4 linked regions of the Ovis aries genome follow. The protein of the gene in region 3 interacts with the protein of the main gene of each other region in a pairwise test. Links are inferred from orthologs where the notes say so. Each region holds a gene or a part of one and is shown on either strand. Other genes may lie near its edges.

Evidence for each region.
Region 1: the proteins of RPIA (region 3) and STK16 interact in binary tests that used the Homo sapiens proteins (3 or more experiments, as listed by UniProt). The two-hybrid records come from large-scale screens. The link is inferred for Ovis aries from reciprocal best matches to the Homo sapiens genes RPIA and STK16.
Region 2: the proteins of RPIA (region 3) and PTPN11 interact in binary tests that used the Homo sapiens proteins (3 or more experiments, as listed by UniProt). The two-hybrid records come from large-scale screens. The link is inferred for Ovis aries from reciprocal best matches to the Homo sapiens genes RPIA and PTPN11.
Region 4: the proteins of RPIA (region 3) and PCMT1 interact in binary tests that used the Homo sapiens proteins (3 or more experiments, as listed by UniProt). The two-hybrid records come from large-scale screens. The link is inferred for Ovis aries from reciprocal best matches to the Homo sapiens genes RPIA and PCMT1.

Annotation. Positions count from the first base shown.
Region 1 is NC_056055.1:221,192,829-221,197,284, reverse strand, and holds the start of STK16 (serine/threonine-protein kinase 16), read right to left. Parts: upstream 2,840-4,456; 5' UTR 2,794-2,839; exon of another isoform or gene 2,644-2,793; intron 2,434-2,643; 5' UTR 2,330-2,433; coding exon 2,244-2,329; intron 1,770-2,243; exon of another isoform or gene 1,746-1,769; coding exon of another isoform or gene 1,702-1,745; coding exon 1,482-1,701; intron 1,232-1,481; coding exon 1,098-1,231; intron 927-1,097; coding exon 806-926; intron 681-805; coding exon 585-680; intron 176-584; coding exon 54-175; intron 1-53. Other genes in the region: GLB1L (beta-galactosidase-1-like protein), read left to right, coding at 4,348-4,416. UniProt on the Homo sapiens protein: Membrane-associated protein kinase that phosphorylates on serine and threonine residues. In vitro substrates include DRG1, ENO1 and EIF4EBP1. Also autophosphorylates. May be involved in secretory vesicle trafficking or intracellular signaling.
Region 2 is NC_056070.1:61,910,712-61,914,537, reverse strand, and holds part of PTPN11 (tyrosine-protein phosphatase non-receptor type 11), read left to right. Parts: coding exon 1-67; intron 68-2,964; coding exon 2,965-3,130; intron 3,131-3,826. UniProt on the Homo sapiens protein: Acts downstream of various receptor and cytoplasmic protein tyrosine kinases to participate in the signal transduction from the cell surface to the nucleus. Positively regulates MAPK signal transduction pathway. Dephosphorylates GAB1, ARHGAP35 and EGFR.
Region 3 is NC_056056.1:59,367,010-59,371,312, reverse strand, and holds the start of RPIA (ribose-5-phosphate isomerase), read right to left. Parts: upstream 2,862-4,303; 5' UTR 2,830-2,861; coding exon 2,557-2,829; intron 1-2,556. UniProt on the Homo sapiens protein: Catalyzes the reversible conversion of ribose-5-phosphate to ribulose 5-phosphate and participates in the first step of the non-oxidative branch of the pentose phosphate pathway.
Region 4 is NC_056061.1:74,009,904-74,014,215, reverse strand, and holds the start of PCMT1 (protein-L-isoaspartate(D-aspartate) O-methyltransferase), read right to left. Parts: upstream 2,945-4,312; 5' UTR 2,938-2,944; coding exon 2,709-2,937; intron 1-2,708. UniProt on the Homo sapiens protein: Initiates the repair of damaged proteins by catalyzing methyl esterification of L-isoaspartyl and D-aspartyl residues produced by spontaneous isomerization and racemization of L-aspartyl and L-asparaginyl residues in aging peptides and proteins.

The sequences.
Region 1 (4,456 bases), on a different chromosome or scaffold from region 3:
CCCTGCAAACAGAAGGGAGGAGCCTGGAGTGCCCCTGCTCCTTTCAAGCTCACCTGGGGTTCTGCGGGATGCTGAGTTGGTTCTGCACTGCAAGGGCCACGCTGTCACCCTTCTGGAACACCATGTCGTAAGGGCCTTCCCCAAACATCATGGCATATAGCACACAGCCTAGGGACTGAGCATAACTTGGTTATTCCTTGGAAGAGGACCAATGGAGTCATCTCTCTCTGTTTCATTCTGTAGTGAAAGGAGGCTGCAGTATGCAGACTTCAGTCACGTGACACCACCAGGGCCCCAGAGAAACTGCCAGTTAGCTGGAGGCCTCTGCGTCTTGTGCTGAGCCGCTGCCTCCAGCCCTGACATTTAGTTATACTTATCCTGCTCAAAGGGCAAGATTATATCACTTCCTGAGCAACTGAGTACAGTGTCAGTGATAGTTCCCAGGAAGGAAGTCAAGGGGGGATTGGGACATACATGCTTCCTGGGGCCCCATGCATTGGAAACCAAAGACTTGCTCCTCCAGTTCACAGCAGCTACAGAGCAGCACTCCTCCCCTTCCACGTTCCCACCCACACGCTCCTCACCCAAACATCAGTCCGCTCATCGATGACACAGTGGCTTTGCACGGAGAAGAGCTCCGGGGCCCGGTAGGAGATGGTGCACCGCTGGGCTGCCCAGTCCTGGAACAGTGGCCCCAGAGCTCAGAAGCAGGGCACAGGTTTTGGTCATGTGCCCAAACTGGGGCATGGACCAGAAGGGGCTGAGGATGAGGAAGAGATGGGCAAAGGACTCTGGAAACTCTTACCTGGAGGGCCAGAGCCTGGCGGGAGCCCTCCACACGGATGCATGCTTGATTCATGGACCCCAAGTCCATCAGAACTGGCTGCCCCTCATCGCCAAGCAAGATATTGGTGGGTTTCAGGTCCCTGCAGGGAAGTAGAAATGACCCATGAGCATCCCTGAACCAAAAGCCCAAGATCCTAGGGGGAGCAAAAGAATCATGGGGACTGTTCCTGGAGAAGAGCACAGAGATCTCTCATTTCTCTTCATGAGGCTCTTCCTTTCTGTCCAGCAAGTACATGGAGCCTCCCACTGACCTGTGGGCATAACCCTTGGTGTGAATAGCCTCAAGGCCTCTGCAGATACCCAGCAGCAGCTGAATGATTTGCTCTTCAGTCAAGAAGTTGCCTTTGTCCTTCAGCTTTTCTATCTCATTCCACAGCGTACCTCTCTGCAAAACAAGTTTCCCCGCAGCTGATGTTTTTAGCCTCTGCTCCCTGAGCCTGATTCTTTCCCTATGTCAGAATTTATAGCAATTTCACCACACACCCTACAGCCCCAGGTGGGTTCCTTAAACCCCAAATCTGAAATGCTCAAACCAGAACATGACTTCTGCTTCCTAATGTGCTTGAGTGCTCATGATAGCCCTTGGCACACACCGCTCTGTTGCAATCCCATCCATAGCCAGGAGACTTTCTGACCTTGAAGAAGGGTAGCAGCAGCCAGGCCTCATGTTTAGTGCCTCGCTCTCTCAGACAATAAGCCACGAGGTGAAGGATGTTGGGGTGATGGAAGAGGCGATGCATGTCTGCTTCTCGTTGGGCCTCCTCCCGGTCCTGCTGCTCATGACACAGGATTCGCTTCAGGGCGTAGAACTGTCCATCATGCAACCCCTCCACTAGGTCCACAAAGCTGAACCCACTGTGGGCCAAAGGGGTCAGTGAAGGACCAAGGTCATCTCCCATACTGCTGGGATCCAGAGGAATTCCCTGGGAAGAAGTGCGAGGGGAGGGGGGGGTGTCTCCCGTTTACTAGCAACCCTCCCAAGGTGTGACTCTAAAAAGAAGTCTGAAGATTATTCACATAGAGCAAGGACACAGTCACTTTCTAGGTCCTATGGTCTTAATGCAGGGCTTCAATAAATACTAAATAGATAACAGCCAACCTTTATCAAGTGCTATTTATCAGGCAATAGGGGAGACACTTGATACGAATTATCTCATTTAGTCCTCACAGCCCCATCATTGAAGCAAAATTAGCTCTAATAAGCAGATAAAGCAACTAGGGCTTATCAAGGCCATACATGGTGACTCTAGGAAGACTGGTTCCACAATCCACTTTCTTGACTACCAAGGAGCTGGGCTCCGGCCGGTGAATTAGAGGCTCTGTGCCCCTATCTTGTGCTGACTGCTGTCCTTCAAACACCACAATTCTTGGGACTAAATGATTTCCAAAACACTCACCCCTCCCCCAGTTTATGGATGAAGAGGTAGCGCTTATGGTCAATGGTGACAGTTCCCCGAGAGCAGATGCAAAGCGCGTGGCCCATAGTGTCTCAGTCATCCTTCTCAAGGACGGTCTGAAGCTGCCAAAGGGTTCGTCCAGGTCGAGTGGTCTCTTTCAGGCAAGTTGCTGGGGCTCCAGCAGATCATGCTGGAAGGAAAAGAATGGCAGGTCATGGGCGGGGCACAATCCAGATGACCCCCCCCTAAAGGGCCAACGTGAAGCGCTCAGGCCCAGGTCTCCAAACCTAGAGAAAATAAGCCCTGGCAACGCCCGCTCCAAGAAGGCTCGGGTCAGGTGCCTTAAAAGGGCCCAGGCCCCTCGGCGACTCCCAGGCCACTTCCTCCAACCCCGGCCCACCTTCAGGCAGCCCCTCACTCGCACACCCCGTTGGGCTGTAGAGGCAGGGCACGGGGTAGATCCGGAGAGGAATGCGAGGCCTGGACCCACCGCTTGCAGAACCCACTCCGGGTCTCGGTCTGGGTGGGCCAGCCAGGACACCACACTCACCCGGCTTCAGCGGGAGGGAAGCGCCAGGGGCCGGAAGCAGTAGTACGTCATCAGTCCGCGCCGGCGTAACGGCCCGCAGTATCCTAGCAACCGCTGAGCACTAGGACGATGTGGGGGCGTGGAGCTGAGAGGCCGGGGGCGGGTTAGGCCTGGGGGAGAAGGGGTCCCAGGACCCGGGTGAGGGTTCCCCACCTGGCCTGCAGTGAGGGTCAAGACGCAGGCACCTACGTCAAAGGGGAGCAAAGCCGGGCTCGGCCCGAGGCCCCCAGGACCTGCCTCTCCCAATGCCAGAGGTAGGAGGCGTCATACCTCCCGTGCACCGGGTGGCCGACTGGGGTCCAGCCTGGAGGTGGATGCTCAGAGGGGGCGGGAGCTGGCAGTTTGCACCCCTTTGCAGCTCTGATCAGTACAACCTTGGGGGCTCTGGCCTGTATCTTATTACCGTAATCACAGTAGTTAAGAGCTCAAGCTCTTCAACTAGACTAGGGTCGGAATCTTAATAGCCCATTAGCTGTGTCACCTGGACAAGTTACTTAGCCTCTAGGAACCTCACTTTCCTTAACTGTAAAATAGGTGTAAGAGTACCTAAAGTTAAATGCATGAACTCTGAGGCCAGACTGCCTCATTCAAATCCCAGCTCTACTAAACTAGTTATGTGACCTTGTTAACGGGCTAATATTTCTATCCTCCAATCACCTCATCAGTAAAATGGAGATTATTATCTACTTCATGGAGTTGTTTGAAGATTAAATGAGAGGTGAAGTGCTTACTATAGCGATTGATGCATAGCCCTGAGTAGTGTCCATAAGCAGAAATAACAATAATAACTATCCTGGTCTTCACATCCCAGGCTTGGGACTGTGAAGGCAGTGAGTGATGGAAATTCACAAATTTCCAAACCTTGGAACTTTGATGTCTCTTGCCCAGGCAGGGGTAAATTGGAAAGGGGCGCACATCCAAAGATGATAGGATGGCCTAGATGGTCTCTTTTGTTGAAACAGGACAGGATTCTCTAGGAAGAAGATTCCTCTTGTAACCTGATCCCCACCCCAACTCCCACTCCCCTTTCATATACTGAGAAAATATCCTCTGGTTTCCCTTGGGTCTGAACCTAGATCTGACATTCATCTAGATTTAACCTGCTGTGTACTGAGCCCTGTGATAGCAGCAGAGGACTCAGGATGGACAAGGCTCTCCCTATCCTCAGGGGGCTCAGTGTAGCAGAAATCTACTTCTCGATCCTGAATGTGCTCAGAGCACCCGGAAATCTTGTTGAAATACAACTTCTGATTCTACAGGTCTGAGGTAGGGTCTGAGACTCTGCATTTCTAACAAGCTCCCATGATGAAGCTGGTTCATGAACCAGTAGCAAGATATAGAGGGGTTTACAAACTAGTAGAGTAGCAGGCAGTTGCAGGCTGGAGACAAAGTCCAGGCTAATCGCCTGACAACTTGCAGTGGTCTCCGCCCACTTGCTCGCTGAGGTTCTCTCCCAGGAATCTGCCACGTGACCGTCGGACCACCGTCTCTGACTGGAAGAGCCCCGAAAGCGCCATGGCTCCCAAGAAACCTCTCTGCCTTCCCTCCCTGCTGCTCCCGCTCCTGACGCTGCTGCTGCCCCAGGTAGGATGGGAGAATCGAACCAGCCGCTGGGTGCGGTGAG
Region 2 (3,826 bases), on a different chromosome or scaffold from region 3:
AACGTCAAGGAAAGTGCCGCTCACGACTATACCTTAAGAGAACTTAAACTCTCGAAGGTTGGACAAGTAAGTATACTGTCGTACTTTAGACAGTCTGGTAACTGCACAGGGGGTGTGCTAATCCAGGGTCGTGCGGTCACTCCTGTCTGCATACCTCCAGGCATTTGTTCACTCACTGAATAACATCCAGTTGTGGACGCCCTCTGTGTGCCAGGTACCACCGAGGTACTTGTTTCGTTGTCATTGTGTTAGCCACTCAGTTGTGCCTGACTCTTTGTGACTGTAGCCCGCCAGGCTCCTCTGCCCTTGGAATTCACCAGGCAAGAATACTGGGGTGGGTTGCCATTCCCTTCTCCAGGAGATCTTCCTGACCCAGGGATCGAACCCAGGTCTCTTGCATTGCAGGTTGATTCTTTACCATCTGAGCCACTTGGGGAGCCGCAAGGTACTGGACTGGTACATGGCAAACCAGATCTGCACGGTCCCTTTCCCCACAGAGCCTAGGGAGGTGGGAGGCTAAGGAGTAAATAACCAACCAAGCTTTCCAGTTGTGCTGGGGCTATGAACGCCACAGTGTGGTGTGTTAGAGAATGAAGTGGAGTAAGCAGGGAGGACCTCTTTCGGGGGGTGCCAGGCAAGCTGAGACCTGAAGGTGGAGCAGCATCTGAGGCTCGGGAGAGGAGAGTTCCAAGCAAAAGGAGCAGCAAGTGCAAAGGCCCTGAGGCCTATTTTAGTGCTCATGTTCCATGTGTCAGCTTGTAATTGTACGTAGTTCAGTTTTGTCCCTGGGATGACTATGTTTGTTTCTTTTTTTTTTTTTAACTTTTTATGTTGTATTGAAGTATAGACTGTCAGCAATGTTGTGATACTTTCAGGTGGACAGCAAAGGGAGTCACCAATATGTGTACATCTGGGGTGACTAACTTTGCATCCAGCGTGATTTGGATTCATCATGATATCATGGTGAGACAGGCTTACTTATTCAGGGGCCTCTTGGGACACAGAGGTGAATGAAACAGCCTTTGTCCTCAAGGAATTGTAGTCATGTAGCCACGAGAAGCCATGGTACAAGTCCCTATGCCATCGAGCAGACACCCGCTGTCACACCCACCTAAGGTGCTGGGGTTCCTCAGCAGCGGGTGGAGAGAGGGTTGGGGGAGTGCAGATCCGTGATGGAGAGAGTGCACGGAGTCATAGCTGGGCAGCCGGGGCGGGAGGAGGCATGCGGAGGGCAGAGGAGGGACTGTCCTCTGGTGAGTTTCATGAGGTGGTCTGGGGACCTGAGTGAGCCAGGAGCCTCAGCGGCTGTGGTCCAGGGTCGGAACTTCTGATGTGCCGTTCTGTTGCTGGCAGGGAGAGGTAAGAGGGAGGTTAGGTCGATTGCGAGACTGTGTGGGGAAGCTGGAAGAATGTCTCTGTCAAGCAGAAATTAGAGATTTAGAGAACATCAGACAAAGATTTCAGATAGATTTTTCTTCAGCTGTAGTGGTAAACGACTCGTCTTCTCTTTATCAGGTGTTTCTCAGTAGCAGGTGGATTTTTCTTCAGGTTTTGTTTTTTTTTTTTTTTTTTTGATAAACCATCCGTCTTCTTGTTAGCAGAGATTTGGGAGTACCAGGTACAGGGAATGTTGGTGTTTGGGTTTGTGTTTTGCACTTGTGGGTGCAGGTGCTGACACAAGGCCAATCATTTCTCCAGGATTACTGGTCACGGGTTATCTGCTTTTTGTATAGCATGCTCCATTTTTTTTAAAGTGCTATCAGATGATCTCATTTAAGCCTCCTAATCGCCTGGGAAGGAGGAGTGGGACCAAGACCTCAGTGGCCATTTATATAGGAGGAGGAACAAGGATGCTCAGGGCAGCTGGGTCTCTCTCATTCCCTGTCCTTTCTGTGACCCTGGGAACCCCCTGAGTTTTAGCTCACTGGTAACCTCCAGAAAAATCCTTTTTCATGACTCAGCAAACTAAATGCACATAATTCCCGAAAAGATCTTGACTGCGGTTCAGATTCCTTGGATGTTCTGAAGGTCACAGGTGGTGGATACTGGTCTGGTTATTCTCTCTCTTTCCTTTTTTCAAAATCCCCTTTAAAAATGTTACTTAGCTTATGTAGTCTCCAGATAATGTAGGAAGAAGACACAGTGACAAATAGTGACCTAATTGGGTGAACCCAGAACACGATGCCTTTTAGTTTTTCGTAGTCTCAGTACCCTTGTTGACCTTTATTAATGTCAGTCCTCAGAAGAGCACCAGCGTGCTGAGTCTCTTCCTGTCTGCTTCACAGTGGCTCTCCGTTTAACTGGTCTTATTTAGTCCTCACAGTGATAATTGTGGTAGAGAGTCTTATGCCCATCCACACATGAGGGGTTTGAGGCTTAGAGATGTCCAAGGACCACAGTGAGCGTGAATGCTGGGGTTGGGGCCTGAATCCACCCACCTGATTGCAAAGCCTGTCTTACCTGCTCTGCACCAAAATGGAAGTTGAAATAATTATAATAAAAGTGCATGTTGCAGGAGAGGCGGGCCAGGTACAAAAAGACAGAGACGAGCAGATGTCTGGAGGGAATTCCCCTTTCTCAGGTGGTGGGAGGAGAGCCCCCGAGTCCCAGAGGGCTCTGCTGTCTCCCACGTGCAGCTGTGCTCGGCGGAGGGGGAACAGGGACCTCCTCTGCCGCTGGCTGACAGGGCAGGCACGAATGCTGGCTGTCGTTTCCTCAAGAACAAACTGCTATAAGAGACATCTTGTTTCTTTGGACGGAGGCAATGGGTTCCAGCCTCCAGGATTGCTCAGCCAGACCCAGGAGGAGGAGAGGTCTGGGGAACTTGTCGGGGGGACCTGTGAACGGAGTGTCTGGAGGCGGTGCTGGCCTGGTCCTCCTGGCTCACGGAGGATCTGGGAAAGATAGGACCCGGACGATGTCTCAACCCCTTGATTTATTTAATTCTTTTCTGGTTTTTCTTGGCTTTACTCCAGGGGAATACAGAGAGAACGGTCTGGCAATACCACTTTCGGACCTGGCCGGACCACGGCGTGCCCAGTGACCCGGGGGGCGTGCTGGACTTTCTGGAGGAGGTTCACCACAAGCAGGAGAGCATTGTGGATGCGGGGCCCGTGGTGGTTCACTGCAGGTGACTGGCCCCTCCACCTCTAGGATGTCACCTGTCCCATCATCTCTCAACGCCCAGGGTGCTTGTTTGTACTTGCCCAGCCCAAGCCACAGCTCTTTAACTGTGGGAAAAATTTAATGCCTGTTTGTGGCATTAAGGGACACTTTGACCCCAAAGTATATTTCTTCTAGATCCTGTGGGACCACCAGGTACTGGGGTGGTGGGGCAGGGGGTGGTGAACACAGTCCTTATTCTTAAGGCACCCTTAGTCTGGTAGTGTTTGATTGGTTTTCTCTGTTCATGCAGTTATTTTAGGATTCATCTCTTTGATTGTGATCCTCTTCTTGTTTTCCATGGAAATATGGTGTATTTTTTTCCCCCTGACAACATACCTGTTTGTTTCAGAATATTTGGACCGCTCCCCATTCAGGCTTCTAGAAGCCAGGCCCATGGCCTCCGCACCAGAGTTTGTAGGTGCCAGTTCCCAAGTTTAGGCTTCATGATTATACTGGGGAAAGTTGGTATATGTTGGGCAAGTAGATGCGTGTGAAACATTATTTATTCAGTTCTATAAAAGCTCCCTTTTATTGAGCCCTTGCTCCATACCAGCATCTGCATCAGTTGTTTTTCACCCATTACTGATATTTGATACTCACAATAGCCCATTTCACAGATGATGAAACAGAGGGTCAGAGAGGTTAAGGGATTTGCCTCAGG
Region 3 (4,303 bases):
TTGACCTTCCCTGAGTTCCAAAGGACAGATACAAGCAGTCACCATTCAGGTAAGATAAGGAATGCAGAAGCAAGGGAGGAGCAGTCAAGAAACAAAGCCATGAGGCAAGGGCCTGGTTCCTCCTCAAGGAATATACATGACAACAGTCTCTGAGTTCTTCCACAGGAACTAAGGCCCCAATCAAGTAGAAAGCTGCTAACCACCACACAGTTACCTCACCATCAGCCAATCAGAAGGTCTACACACAGTGGAAGATAAGACTCTGACCCCCTTCCTAAATGATTAACTGCAATTAACGTCCCCTTTCACCTTAGTAAAGTAGGTTCTAGAAGTCGGCCTTCTCGCCAGGTTGCCAGCCTCCAGAACAAAGCAATTTTTTCTTTCCCAAGTTTTCTTTTGAAAGCAAACTTGTCTTTCAAGGGGTGAGCAGTCAAATCTGAGTTGGGTAGCAAGGGAACAATTTCAAGACACAAAGTGCTAAAGGAAAATTTGGCCTTAGATGGAGAAAAAGGATAACCCTGGAGAGGGCTGCTAAACCTTGACAATCAGGTACAGGACTGTGATCAATAACCTTGTCTTGGAATTCAGTGATCTTGTTTGCAAAATATCCAGGATCAGCATCTTCTCCTCCCTTTAGCCACATCTCTGGCCTCCACACCAACTACCTGACACATAGCAGGCACTCAACAAGTTCCCGCACAGGAATGAAATGAATGAATCAGTGGTAAGAAGTACAAAATACAGGACTTCGCTGGCGGCTCACTAATAAAGAATCCACCTGCCAATGCAGGGGACACAGGCTCCATCTCTGGTCCAGGAAGATCCCAGGAGAGCAACTAAGCCTGTCCGTCCCAGCTATTGAGCCTGTGCTCTAAAGCCTAGGAACTGCAACTACTGAAAACTGTGCCCTAGAGTCCATGCTCTGCAACAAGAGAACCCACTGCAATGAGAAGTCTGCACACTGCAACTAGAGAGCAGCCCCGGCTCACCACCAACTAGAAAAGCAGCTGGAGCAGTGACCCTGCACAGCCAAAAATAAATAATAAATAAATAAGATTATTTTAAAAAAACATTCAAATAGTGTTGACATCTCAGGAAAGAAGTCTGCAAAGGCAAATAGTGTTAACTGAGACTGGGGTGAATGCCAAAAGGTCAATGGAGATCTCCCCAGGATGGTCTGGCAACTTCAGGCAACAGGTGGCTGGGGGCTCTGGCCTGAGGTGGGGGCTTGCAAATTTTTATTTAACCAAATACGTAATTTAAAAAAAAAACCACAATGGTCAGGAAGACATAATAGTAATAGGATAATAGGAAATCTAACATACAGGTCTTTTCTATTTGTATAGATTTCATTTGCCCATTACCATTCACTTTCTAGAGGCATTTAAAATTTCAGCCGATTGTCCCAATGTTGCAGCTGAGACACTAAATCCCAAAAGGAGAGCCAGATGACACATTCCACATTATCTCTGTGTCCCATAGAAATTCCTATTGCTAACCAGACTATTACACCAGAACAGGGCAGCTATGTAACTGGGGGAAGGGCACTGGAACAGGAGTCACTGGGTTTGGGTCTGGGAGGATACTTGGTCATTCCTCCTACAGAACACGCTGAGCCACAGGTTACCACGCGGCCCTCCCACTTGGCCAGGCTGTAGGAGGATCTAACATCTATCCAGCAAAATAACTTCGTACACGAAAGCATTACCAAATGTAAAGAATAAAGAACCATTATTTGAGAAAAGAGAATCTGATACCACTTTCCAGAAAGCAGAAAACACTAAAAGCCAATGAAACCCAGGAAACTCCACCTAAGGGCAGAGATACTCCACTTGGCTCCCAGCTCCCAAAATTCTTACAATTAACATGATTGTTGACAGCAAATCCAAAAGACTCCACCAAGAGGACCACACCCGCCACTTAGCCAACAAGTGGGGTCACGACCTCACTGACATTACATTACGACCTCACAATAACAGCTAAACATCTCCACATCCCGACCTTAAAGAGGATCTCCAGACTTCAAGTGTCCACCCGAGCCCTGCCAAAAGGAGGAGGTTTAAAGTCTTTGGCTCCTTCTCCGCTTTCCTCCGGCAAGTACATTCAAGAGCCGGTGCGCGCCCAGCTAAGCACTTCCCTGGAGTTAAATTTCAAAACACTTTTCAAATCAGCTCCCCACCGACTTCCCTGGGCAGTGAAGCGAGGTGAACACTTCTCGGCAGTCCCAGTCTTTTATCTGTTGATAAGGAAGCCAGGCGCTAAGTCCCTCCTAACCCCACTCCGAACATCAGACACACCACCACGCTCCACTTGGCAAACTGTTATCTGGCCTGACAAGCAGTCGTTAGACAGCTGAACTTTAGGGTACTCGGCCCCAACCAATTCCATATTTCAAAGGCCTTGAAGGAGCAGGTCTCAAGGCAGGTCAAGTGCGTACTCTCTCCCCTCTCACGCAGCCCCCGCTCTGCCAGGAACTTGGCGCACCTGGCAGCGCTCAGAACCCACAGCAAGAGCCCATACCGCCCAGCACGGGCGCCCAAGCCCTGAATTGCTCACCTTCACGTGGTTCTCCACGGCCGCGCGGCCAGCCAGCTTCTTGGCCTCCTCGGCCTTTGACATCGCGGACGGGCCCGGACAGACGGTGTTAGTCTCCCTGCCGCCGGTACTGGTGCTGCCAGCGCCGAACTGCGAGCGTCCCGACAACTGCACGTGGGAACCCGGAACGCTCCAGCTGTTCCCGCCTCCGCCAGAGGCCGCGCCCCCGGCCCGCCCGGGCAGCGGGGCCAGGACCCGCCCGTAGAGGGTGCTGAAGGGCCCGGGGCGCTGCATCCCTCCGCCTCGCTCCAGCCTCCGCCACGGGTCCCGCCCCCCGGCTCCGCCGGAAGTCTTGAAGCCCACGTACAAGGTCCGCTTCCGCTGAGGCGCGGTACTTTCTGGGAAATGTAGTTCTAGGTCTTCAGTGACCGGAAGCCGCGCCCCAGCCTGGACTACCAGCCCCACAGTGCTCCGCGACCGGGTGCGCAAATCAAAGACGACTTTGTTGTGACGGCTCGTACAGAGCAAGCATCCCCGGATGGATCAAGGCTAGAGTATTTTTTATTTGCCCCCGTGTCTGAGATGGACGTTTTGGATCTAATCCTGTTGGATTTTCTAGCCGTAAGAACGTGGCGGTGTACGAGGCCTCAGGGCAGTCGCTTTTATGGAAATGTCCTTTTGGGAGTGACTTCTCTAGACGGACTCCCCGGGGAAGCGCACCTGCGGACAGCGGCTCACGCTTTAGTCCACATTTAGACCTCCTTCCACAGGAGCAGGGCTACAGATTTAGAAGCCCCAGCCTTAGGTTTTGTTCTGCCCTGCGCAGCATTGGATGCCGCGGTTCCCTCCAGATGGAGCTTGGCTCGACGCCTATGTGTGACCTATAGAAATTATTGACTCAAAAAGGACTGTCGTTGAACTAACAACTCTCTTTTCTTCCCTACCTATAAAGTGTCTTGCTGTGCTTGTCAACTGAAAAAAAGTACAATGTAAGTAAAGTGAGTTTCAGTTTTATTCTGGCAGCTTACTTGGGACTATAGCTGGGGAAATAACATTTCACCTCTGTGGAACTATTCCAAAAAGATAAGGGAGGCGGCCAGTACATACATGTCTTTTTGGTCTTGGAAATGTAGTCAAGCGTTGGTGTTCAAGTAGCTCAACCACGTCAGGGCTCTGCGACCCCATGAACTGCAGCCTGCCAGGATTTCCTATTCTTCACCATCTCCCAGAGTTTGCTCAAACTCATGTCCGTCCAGTCAGTGATGCCATCCAGTCATCTCCTCCTCTGTCCCCCTCCTCCTCCTGCCCTCAATCTTTCCGAGCATCAGGGTCATTTCCAATGAGTTGGCTCTTAACATTCAGGTGTCCAAAGTACTGGAGCTTCAGCTTCAGCATCAGTCCTGCCAATGAATATTCAGGGTTGGTTTCCTTTGGGACGGACTGGTTTGATCTCCTTGCTGTCCAAGGGACTCTCAAGAGTCTTCTCCAGCACCATAGTTCAAAAGCATCAATTCTTGCACACTCAGCCTTCTTTATGGTCCAACTCTCACATGAATATGTGACTACTGGAAAAACCATAGCTTTGGCTATACAGATCTTTGTCAGCAAAGTGATGTCTCTGCTTTTTAATATGCTGTCTAGGTTTGTCATAGCTTTTCTTCGAAGGAGCAAGCATGGCTTGATGCAGTCACTATCTGCAACGATGCTGGAGCCCAAGAAAAGATCTGTCACTGTTTTCACTGTTTGCCATGAAGTGATAGGACTGGAT
Region 4 (4,312 bases), on a different chromosome or scaffold from region 3:
TGAGCCCCAACAATCGATCTTAATTTGTTTTAACGAGCTCTCCTGGTGATCCAGCAGATTTTGAGGCATGCTCAAGTTTTAGACCACAGTTGGCAGTAACTTAAGAGCAGTTATCAATACAAACATCAGCTATGAGATATTATGACTGTATCGTTACAATCTAAAATAATCTATAAATATCAACTGTGAAATCATACTTCTATCACGTCATCTTATAGAAGAAACACCTCAGTAGGCATTTTCAATAAAATTAATATAAAATATTAAAATGAAACCAATCATGAACCTTATTTGATTAAAAAAAGAAAACTGTAATTTGCTTCCTCTTCCACTTTGCAGATCCATATTCACTTCAGTATCAGCATTACCACATTTTAATCTTTTTCTACAGATTCAGTTAGAAGCCTTTAAGTGAGGAAGAATACACAGTGGTGCAATTACCAGGAAAGAGTGAGAAATTTTCAGTGTGTGCCAACTGAAATTTTTATGTGAGCAAATACTAGTGTTATTAATGAACTATTAAATAAATATGAAATCTATTGGCTTAAATTAATTCAGCAAGAAGTTGAAACTAAAGTTGCAAAAGGTTATGAAAAAGGCTAAACAATCTGCCTATGCTATTTCCTCTTACTAATCATAGAACTAGTATAAAACTAAGTATCAACATCTATGTATGTTAAATATTTCTCACTTAATTTTCTGATAGGAAAACATCCTTAGAAATTTCAGCTAAGAATACATTTAATGCAATACATTAAAATGATTACAAAACCACTGGGAAAAGATCTAGCTTTGGCTTACTACAAATTTGGCCTAAAAAGGAGCGTCAAGAGCCTGATTGATTACAAATTTCTGCCACAGCCAAGTGTTTACTGAGATAACCTTCTGGTGGAAAATTACTTAATCACAATTCAAGTACAGAATGTTTCAGGTGTGTAGGCACTAGATAATTTTAAGAAGTTTTATTAAAATATTTACAACATATTGAGCTTCTGGTCTATGAGAACCTAAATCACTCTTAACACTGACACTGCACATAAATTTCCATTTCCAATCAAGTATCCTTCCATAAAGTGAATACTGGCAATGTTAGACAGGGCTTTTAAACCTAAACATTCTTTGAACATATATATATATAGCTAAGTTGCTTCAGTCATGTCCAGACTCTGCGACCCCCGTGGACTGTAGCCTATCAGGCTCCTCTGCCCATGGGATTCTCTGGAGGGCAAGAATACTGGAGTGGGGTGCCCTATCCTCCTCAAACATTCTTTACTAAACACTAAGGAGTTGGTGATGGACAGGGAGGCCTGGCATGCTGCGATTCATGGGGTCACAAAGAGTCGGACACGACTGAGCGACTGAACTGAACTGAACTGAAGGACACAATCTCCAACTTTGGAACATTGTGTTTAAAAAAAAAAAAGACTAACATTAAGCACTAACCATGTGCCAGCCAATGTTACTTATTCTCTCACTAATCTTAGTATTCCTAGCCTAGATCTAAGCATATAATATATACTTAACTGGCATTTATTTTTCAAACAAGTAATGATTATTAAGATGAGGGGATTCAAAGACTAAAAAAAAAAAGGTACTGGCCCTCAAGGAGGTTACAAATCGAATTTGGAAACATGAGACGCGAAAAGCTAAACAACCTATAACAATTAAAAATACCACGTGGTAGGGCTGCGATTATTTGCAAAGTCAGTGGCAAAGAAGAATGCTATAAATTCTGACCAGAGAGAGAGTACTATAGACTGCGGTTCCGGTCTCCCGACCAGACGGCGACACTATAGTTCAATTTAAAAAAAGAAAGTGACACAGCACTCATCCCACCCTAAAATTATCATCAGAGGAAGGAATACAATAACTAAAGAGAACGGTGTAAAGAAAACTTCCATACACAGCTTTTAAAGCATACGATGGCCCTGATAAAAGTGAAAACGGGCCGCAGAACACAATCTTTCGCTGGATCTCCAGGACCTCTGAAGGCTCCTGAAACACAGTCTCTCAAGGAGAGCATCCTTCCTCCTTTCTCCCTCAGCTCCCTACGAAGCTTTCCACTGGACAGCCGTCCCAGAAATTTCTCCCAGCATCCGCAGTGACAGCAACTCTCATCTTCCTCTCCCTCCCCTCGCCGGTATCAGACAGTGGCATCTCCCGCCAGGGGAAAAAACGGAGGGCGGGGGGTGGGGGGAGGCAGAATAGGCGAGAAAGCTTGCAGCTAGATTGATTTAAGACGGGAAGAGTAGGTGGGAGGACGCGGGGGTCGAGGGCGGGGTCCTCCCAGCTCCAGCTCCAGTCTCTCGGAGGTCTAGCCAATATCCCACTCCTCCCGCTCCACCCCAGGGCGCGCCCCTCGCCCGCTGGACCTGAACTGGGAGGCGACGAACTCGAGTGACAGCCCCACTACCTGTGCGCCCCCAGCCCCCAGCCCCGTCCCCCAGGCCTGCGGGGAGATGCCTGCCCCCGCCCCACGAGCAGCGGCCCCGGGCTCCTTCTCTGATTCCAGTCCACATCGCCGATGAGTGACAGGTCCCGGGGGAGGCAATCGCCAGCGCTCGCTGGTCGGGACCGCGGGTGCAACCGTGCGCCGAAGCCCTCCAGCACGCACGGGGAGTAGACAGAACGTCCCGGGCGGCCCCAGGGGACCCGGACCAGGCCTGGCCTTCCTCGGTTGCCCCACACCCGGCGGGGGTGGCACTTACTGCGGAGGTTGTGGATCAGCTCCGAGTGGCTGGCGCCGCCGGATTTCCAGGCCATCGCTAAGCACACCCGGAGCAGGTACAGAACCACCTTCAGCGCGGCGACGGTGCCCAGTAGCTTCCCCAAGAGTGAGACCACCTCCCACACGGTCACCGCCCCGTTCTCGTCCCCGCTGGAGCCGCCGCTGTTACTGCCGTCGTCGCTGCTGCCGCCACTGCGCGCTCCCGGCATCCCCCGCGGCACGCATGCGCTCTGTGACGCCGCGCGGCCTCGGGCGCGGCCGGGTGGGGCCGGAGGCGGGGGTGGCTTCGCGACCCGCAGCCCGGGCGAGGGGCCGCTGCGGCTGCCCGAGATTGGCGGCTTGGCCTCGCTGAGTCAGCGCCACCGCCGCCACTGCGTGGCCTTTCTGAGACCTCGGGCTGCGCAGCGCCTCCTTGCTTGGGTTTGCCCTGCGGTCAGGCGGGGTGGGCCGCAGCGCGGTCGGCCGCGTGCCTCGCTGCGGCTCTGGTCACCGAGAGCGGTGGCAGGATGGCAGGGCGGGTCTGGTTCCGAGGCTGCCGGTGGCTCTGCAGTCGTCGCTGGGTCAGCTGTTGCGAGTGGCGGGTCTGCTCCTATAGCTGTCCAGATTGTTAAACGGTGGGCTTCCTCCGTCCTGCCTTCACCCAACCCAATGAATGACTAACATATTTAGGTCGGTTAGAGTCAGAGCTCCCTATGGTGAACACCGAGTATCTTAAACGGAGGGCAAACGTCCTCTCTAACCCGAGTACTCCAGGCTCTAGCTAACAAGTACATTTAGTGGCTGGTTAGCAGAGACTTTGGGACCCTGATTTGTTCTCAGCTCTAAAGCACAAATTCAGAGAGTGGAAGAAGACAGACAAGGGTTGGAGGGTGGAGCACCGAGAATGCTTTGCTCCTTAGGAAAATGCACTTGCTTAAAAACACTACAGTAGCCTGTGGCGACTGTTTTTCTCCTAACACAAGTGGGCGTTTTTAGCTATTTAAGCCTCACAAATTCCACCATTAGACTGGACCCCGGCTTTGCTGCTATCAGCTATGCAAGACACCGAGTGAGAAACTGACAAGGAACATTGCCAGTAGAATCCAACTTGCTGACTCCTAATCAGAACGGAGACTGGAAGGATCCAGTCATTTAGTCCCAATAAACTTTTAAGGAAGGAAACAAAGCTATGTAAAGACATTGATGCTACTGCGTCAGCAACAATGCTCAAATTTTAGTTCTAACCAGACCTTGGCAAATGTGGTGTCTATGTAAGTATGTATGAATATAGTTATATATTAACTATTTCGTGGGATTCTGCGATAATAACCGAAGCAGCATTCTTTACTTCAATATTGGGAATAAATTAGCCAGTTTGGGACTCAAAATTGGAACTGGGGGTCTTCAGAATTACAACTCCAGTTTCTGACCGTGTGTGTTATCATTGAAGAAAAGTACTTGCTTGGGGGGACAGGGAGGGAGAAGTTTTTAATAATACATTGGTACGTTAATGGACGTACTTCCACGAGAATTTAAGGATTTTTAATCTTTTCTATGCGCGGTGAAATGCAAGCCTGCTTAGGTGTAGCTACTAGCTCGTTTCTC